2 linked regions of the Drosophila melanogaster genome follow. The protein of the gene in region 2 interacts with the protein of the main gene of each other region in a pairwise test. Each region holds a gene or a part of one and is shown on either strand. Other genes may lie near its edges. The genes, in order: Or22a and CG17134.

What was found.
Region 1: the proteins of CG17134 (region 2) and Or22a interact in a two-hybrid assay, tested with the Drosophila melanogaster proteins (one large-scale study listed by BioGRID).

The regions. Positions count from the first base shown.
Region 1 is NT_033779.5:1,518,366-1,522,509, reverse strand, and holds Or22a (odorant receptor 22a), read right to left. Parts: upstream 2,020-4,144; 5' UTR 1,898-2,019; coding exon 1,770-1,897; intron 1,710-1,769; coding exon 1,071-1,709; intron 952-1,070; coding exon 594-951; intron 528-593; coding exon 459-527; 3' UTR 354-458; downstream 1-353. UniProt on the Drosophila melanogaster protein: Odorant receptor which mediates acceptance or avoidance behavior, depending on its substrates. The odorant receptor repertoire encodes a large collection of odor stimuli that vary widely in identity, intensity, and duration.
Region 2 is NT_033779.5:10,819,177-10,822,467, reverse strand, and holds CG17134 (uncharacterized protein), read right to left. Parts: upstream 1,764-3,291; 5' UTR 1,736-1,763; coding exon 560-1,735; 3' UTR 501-559; downstream 1-500. Other genes in the region: CG6508 (uncharacterized protein), read right to left, coding at 2,074-3,291; Nos (nitric oxide synthase), read left to right, coding at 222-361.

The sequences.
Region 1 (4,144 bases), 9.3 Mb from region 2:
ATCACCTACAAACTACACCTTCACACCTAAAAGGAAAATATAAGTAAAAAAAAAAGTTTAAAATCGATCAATTAACCAAGAAACTCTTCTTAAAGAGTTTGTATGAATTATACATTTCCCTTGTATTCTCTCACATATTTTGTTTTTGTAGCTTTTATATGTTTCGGTTTTTTTTTTTGTAAGTAACTACATTAGTTATTTGGCAATAATGCATTTTATTAAGTGGACAGTTGTGGTGTATCCGACCCATGCACCTTCCTTTGCGAAAAACTGCAGTATTCCAGTTTGTCTGGCTTTCAAAACTCTTCCACCCGAGGGCGCCACAAAGTTTGATATATATGAAAAACAGTGATATTACTAAATATTTATTAGGGTACAGCAATATATAATATAAAATAATATATATATAATATAATATAATATATAATATAATAGTAGCAGAGCTCGTCCCTCTCAACTTATTGAAACCTTTCGGCCAAGTTAAATTGCTTAATTACCGTAACCACAGAAAATGCCAGCTTCACCATCTATAATAACAAAGTAATTTAAAATAGGTGTAAAATCAATGATATATCTAAAATATTGACACCCACAGCCAAATTTGTTTGCATGGAAATAGGAAACACTCCACCAGCCGTGAGAGTAATGGGTTGCTGAAGATTGTGAAGAAAGTATACCAACGTGGATTTGTAGCGACGATCGGCAGAGGTCCAGTCCGATTGAAAGAGGCAATTGGACATTTCCTGGCAGTCATCGATAATCATGTTGCACAAATAGCAAAAGGGGAACGTCTCCATGGACACGTCGAACATAAAAAGGCAAGTGGCGACACCAGTCCAAAATGTCGAGAAGAACATTAGATTTATCATTGAGAGACCCAGTACAGTACCGATCAGGAGGAACTGCACAAAAATGGTTCCCGAAAAGACGGGTCGCAATGCGTCAACATAGCTAAGAAATAAAAAAAGGCCATTAATAAAAAGGAAAGGAATAGAAGAAAACTGTTTCAAATATTTCATTTTACTATGTCTTTGCGACACAGTGTTCTTGTAGCATTTGAAACACCTTACTCCAATAGCAATCGATGATCCCGAATGCACTCGGTGAGCTCCTCCAAGTACTCATCTTCGGTCCTTCCTGGCTTCGATCGGAGATTTCTCAGTCGCTGTTTCAGGAGGCTAATGTGGCATCGAGCCATAAGCATGGAGATCAAGGGACACACGTCCGTACAGAGATCCATGTAGATGGCCTCCGTCATCAGAAAACACTCGGCGATGCTGGAGATGTAAAACTGTTCGTCGGAATCGATATATGGAAAGTACATGCGCCAAGCATGGCGTCTCTCAAGCAGAAAATACGGGAAGTTCATTACCACGAAGGTGGAGTAAAAAATGTGATACAAAATATCGAAAAAGTTTCCCATGGCGACATAGCGATGAACAGTGGACCTCTCCTTATCGCTAAGGCATCTCTTGTCCAGCTGATCCAGTAAAACCTTAGCTTCCTGTCTTTTCTTGAATCCAATCAAGGTGAAGGCGCACTTAAAAGAGCTTCCGTACATGTTGACTCCAATCTCGAGGGAACTAAGGAACTCCCCCGCCGAGAAGGTTTTAAATCGGTGGAGGTACTCGATGCTTATCGAGATCGGCAGAAGGATGAGCATTACTATGTTCACGAACGCTAACCACAGTTTATAAGGAAGGATCCACCTTTACGGGAAATTATGGTAGCTTTAATACTTATATATGTGCTTACATTGATTTCATTACCTTTTGTTTTCAGGCTCTGTCCAGCCAAAGGACCACATCACCCGATCCAAGTAAATGAAGGCATCTCGGGACTTAACCCGCTCGCTCAATGGCTTTTCTTTTATGTGGGGAAAAAACTTGCTTAACATCTTGTCCGTGGCTTTGTTTGAATATTTGCTTGAGCTGGGAAACAGTGCTTTTTATAGGCTGCCTCACTGTTGCAAATGGTCTCACATGACTTGGCGGTTTTAAGAGCTTTAGTTCTGTTTCGTATTTGCTGTAAGTTTTTAAAGAATGTCAGTAGAAAATGTCATATGACATTTAATCGACCGCAGGTTACATTTCAGCTGAATGGAATTATGCTCGTTCAACGATCAGGAACTTAACAAGCAATTTACCGAGTAAAACACTACCAAAAATACATTAATTCGCCATACATCTTCATACGACCATACTGAACCGAATTCCCCTTTTCCCGCCCAATATCATTGCCTTTCGTCTGACATTGCGTTGACCATTGGCGGTGTTAATCAATGCCACCGCGATGGCATGCAACCGAAAAATGATTGCCGCCAAACACATTATCTGTATTATTAATGAGCTGCATGCCGCAGACTGCACTCGTGAAAAATATGCGGCTTAAATTTGATTTATAATTTCCGAAATATATTCTAAAAATGTATAAAAATGATGATGTGCTGAAGACCTTGAAAGGCACACAATGAATTAAATAGAAGAGATTAAACGTGTATCAATCATATTATAAATATATTTTATGTATTACAGCAAATCTTTAGACAACTTTACAGATCCCAAATGACTTTAAAACAATTTCAAAGATATAATATAAAGTTTGGACATCATTTAAGCTTTCGCTACGTGCATCGAGTGTCCTGTAAATTGGCATCATTGTTGATTGAGTTGATCGAGGGACCCGCTGCGGGTTTCCCCGACCAAACATCTCTCTTTAGAGCACTTTGCACAGCACATTGCATTCTCATTATAGCCTTGCTTTTCGGGTGTTTAATTAATTGAAAGCATTTTTGCCAGCGTTTGCGGCCGCTTTCCCTTTTGCCAATTTCACGGAGAGTGTGAAGCGTCGACCGTAATAATATTGACTCATTGGCGTTGAGGACGGACATCCAGACATACAAATGCACACAAAAGGACCTTCGTGAACATGCAAATTAAATGCATTCGGCGGAGACAACCCGTCCATGTGCCCGCCCTAGAATCTTTTGTCGGTTCTGGTAATTAATCGGAATATTTTACATTTTTTTTTTCCGGCTCATGGTAGAGAGACGAAATTTAAAATTCAATCAGCGTCTGCAGTGCGCAATCCAATTTAAGTTATAAAGATGGGTGGGTATTGGCAAATTATGATCCTTCCAGATCGTGCATTTTATTCCTAATGGGTATATTTTTGTGTAAACGATCGAAACGGGCTTTTTTGCATTTTTTAATTTTTAAGTTATCGCGAGTTTCACAAGCTATAATTAAATCATTGAAAAGTCAACTTAAGTAGAGGTTACACAGTTTACAAACTCATCTTTAAATCAACGATTCCTGGAAAATATACCATATGTGTGAATTCAGACTGATTCTCATCGTTGGTCATTGAAGTCTAGTCTAAATTGTGACCGAAACACCACAGAATATGGTACAAAAAAAGAAAACAACCGAACTATTACTATTATTTTTGGTTTTAATTGGCTATTCCTCTAACTAATTAAAACTGTGGCGACAGTAGCTATTATATGCTTGACTAATTTACAACATATTCCGGTTACAAACAACGTATACATAACATAAATTTATTGACGGCGATCTGATGACAAATGGATTGGTACGCACGCAAATATTTTGGAATTTAAGTGATTAAGTTTTTTAAGTGGTAATGTTTAAGGGTGAAAAATATATATATGAGAACATCGCTATTAAAGTAATGCATATACACGATAAATGTACTTTAACATATTTATTTTAGCTTGTTTTGGGTAAGTTCAACTAATTATATCAATATATGTGTAATTCCATACTATATTTTCTCGTAAACCTTTGGCCGCTCCACATGGCCATGCAGATTTTGGCAGTAGTCAATCCTTTGAGGGAATGCAATTTTTTTTAATTGCTGCAGGACAATGCTGGAAACATTCACTTTTTCTTTTTCCTTCACGGTCTGTTATTATAACTTCTTTAAAATTCTTTAATTTTATAATTTCTTAAGTTTGCCCTATAACTTACTGATATGAACTGCAACTTATTTCACCACACTTCGTAATATGAATTTGCTAAATAGGTACTCTTAATGATTTTGTATTTCGTATACTTTCTAGAAACATTAGTTTTCCTTGTGACACCTTTAGCGAAGTTAGACTGTACACGGACTTTGTGAA
Region 2 (3,291 bases):
GTTGGGCACACTGCGATCCATGGTTTCAGTCAATCCATAGTCCACATACCCATGCCAACATTAATGTATTTGCATATAAAACCGAGCCCCAAAGTATCCCCATTTATTTTTACACATGTCACTTTTATATACGCCACCGCCTGCCCGCTGGCCTTATGCTGATTTTCGATTCCGAATCACATTTGTTTGATGTCCAATCCCATCGCTCTTCCATCCATCAGGTCTGCACCAAGCTGGGCTGGAAGAGCAAGGGCAGCGAGTGGGACATACTGCCATTGGTGGTCTCGGCCAATGGTCACGATCCGGACTACTTTGATTACCCGCCCGAATTGATACTGGAAGTTCCGCTGACCCATCCAAAGTGAGTATAAAGATGCATGCAGATGGGTGCTATTACCACAGCTTACTATCGCTCTGATTTGTGATTTACTTAAATCTTACTTACATACATTGTAAGCAAGTAAACCTGATAGTTATTACCCACAGGAATACTCCAAGTTAGATTTTATGTATTGCATGTATTTCTCTTAGTTATTTCCTTTTCGATAACAACGTTATGTTAATAATCCGCCACCCTGGCGAAACCAATCCTTTCGTTGCCCTTGTCGAAAACCGTGTAGAACTTGCCAATAAAGACATCACCCAGAATCCAGAAGCTTAGTCCCTCCATGTAGGTGAAGGCGGACATGCAGTAGGTTTGGCCATTCTGCGTTACCTTGACTATATAATCCCTTGGTGCCAGGGTGAAGACAGTACCACCGATATTCAGGTTGACCTTGGGCAGGGATGAGACTCGGCCGCACCTCACGAATGCCTCACCGTCATTATCGGTGGCGCCCAGCTGGCGATTGATCTTCCTGTAAGCGGCCAGTGGAACTGCGATTAAGGAGGTGCCCGTATCGGCGATGGCTTGGCATCCGTTGCACAGCAAAGTGCCATTGGTCTTGATGGTGTTCACCTTGAACTGCCAGTAGGCAGGAACGGAAACGGGCACATAGGTGAGGCTTCCCCTATAGAGACTCGAGTCAATACCGCCCAGGATCAGTTCTCCACCGCGCACAGCGGTTCCCTGTCGCTTGAGATAGAAGGAGATAACTGGTTCATCGAGCAGTCCCTGGGAGATCATGTTGTCGAACGGCGGAGTCACTCCATCGACGGCAATCGCGCTGAAGGCCAGTCCCAGGATTCCAGCAAAAGGAGCATCCACGAAGGTTGTACCCGGCTCGCTGAGTGCTTCGCCGAATGTCTGATTCTGAATGCTGATTCCCGCTATGGTCACAATGTCGTTGGACAGGAAACCCGACAGACTACCAGTTCCGTATTCGATGGCGAACTCCTCACCATTGGCCACATAAGTGCTGGATGCCGAAGAATCGTATTTGTTGTGCCTCTGGCACGCGGTATTCGAAGCCGGGCAACTTGCACTTGGAACCCACAGATTGGCCGATCCCGTGTCGAACAGAATGTTGAATCTCTGCTCAGGCGTTCCGATAGCAATCACGCCGTAGTACTCATTGTTCATGGAATTGTGCAGGTTTTCGGTGGCACCCGACGAACTGACACTGAAAGAGGTCTCCGCCAAAAAGGAGTACTTCGATGCCAGCACGGTCTTCTCGGCCTTAACACTGCCATGGGTCTTGGTGAAATTCTTGTTCACTTGGAGCTGGACGCGATTCAACTTGGCAGCGGAATGGCCAATCCCGACAAGCACCAATAAAACTAACAACTGTCTCATGTCTGCGGCTGAAATTCGACTGTGAATAGATTTGAAATGGGTTCGAAATTTAAATAACTTTTCTGTCTGCTCTCCCATTTTTTTTGTATTGTCTAACTGCAAATATCCATAAATAGCCACGAAATTTTCCATTTCTGGAAGTTAATGACGTCCACGAGTTCTGTTGGCATACTTAAGCTGACTTGGAAACAAAGCCAACTCCAGTCGTAGAGATTAAAGAACTCGGCAAATATTTGTTGTTCGTTTTACAAATCTTCTTTAATACAAGTGTTTAGCCATAAGGTTTATGATGAAACAAATAGGCACGTGGATTAGTTTGGAGTTGAAATATAATTGACTCAAGTAAAGAATCTGGAGTATTCATCGCCGTAGAATGGGTAATCGATGCCGTAGCTAGATGGTTCTTTCACATAACTGGAGGCATAAACCCTATAACTTGAATGCTTCTTTAGTTTTGCGAATCCAATTCTCTCCTTGCCCACATCGAAAACCGTATAGACCTTTCCAAGGAAAATGTCTCCCAGTATCCATAGTAAATTACCCTGCAAGTATGTGAAGCCGGATAGGCACAGGGTTTGATTGTTATCCGCCTGGACCTTGTAGATGTAATCCTTTGGCGTTAGTGTGTAGGTAGTGCCACCGATATTTAGATTAACATTCGGCAATCTACAGAGACTGCTGCAGTCCACAAATGCTTCTCCATCTCCGGCATCAGTGGCATTCAACACTTTATTGATCGCTTTATAGGCTCGCAGGGGAACGGCGATGAGCGAGGTGCCAGTATCGGCGATGGCCTGGCATCCGTTGCAGAGAAGGATGCCCTCGATTTTCACCGAATTAGCCGTAAATTGCCAATAGGCAGGCATCGATACTGGAACGTAGTTGATGCAACCCCTGTAGATGCTCCGATCGATTCCACCCCAGATGACTTCTCCGCCAGACTGTGAGGTACCATCGCGCCTGAGGTAGACGGAGAACACCGGATGTTTGACCAATCCCTGCCGGATGATGTTGTCAAAGGGAGTGGTGACTCCGCCGGAAATGGACGCAAATGCCATTCCAATTATGCCATCAAAAATGGTGTTCACAAAGGCTGAACCTGGTTCATCGATGGCCTCGGCGAATGTCTGATTCCTGATTACCATACCATCGATGTCCACCGTATCCGTGGACAAAAATCCAGACAAGCTGCCTGAGCCGTACTGTATGCTAAATCCTTTTCCATCCTCCACGTGGGAACTGGACGCACTCGAGTTGTATTTATTGTGCTTTTGGCAGGCTTCGTTGGTGCTTGAACACTTTACACTCGGCACCCATAAGTCGGATGATCCAGTGTCGAACTGAAGATTAAAACACTGCGGTGGTGTTCCGATGCAGAGGCGAATGGTGTACTCCAGATTGAATCCGTTGGCTAGCACCTGTGTCGTTTGTGATGATTGTCTGTCCACCAGAAAGTACTTGGCCGCCAGCAAGATCTTCTCCGCCTTCACATTGGCATGGGTCTTGTTCTGGTTGATCTGACGAGTGATGGGAGTCCTCCTGAGTTGGCCCATCGA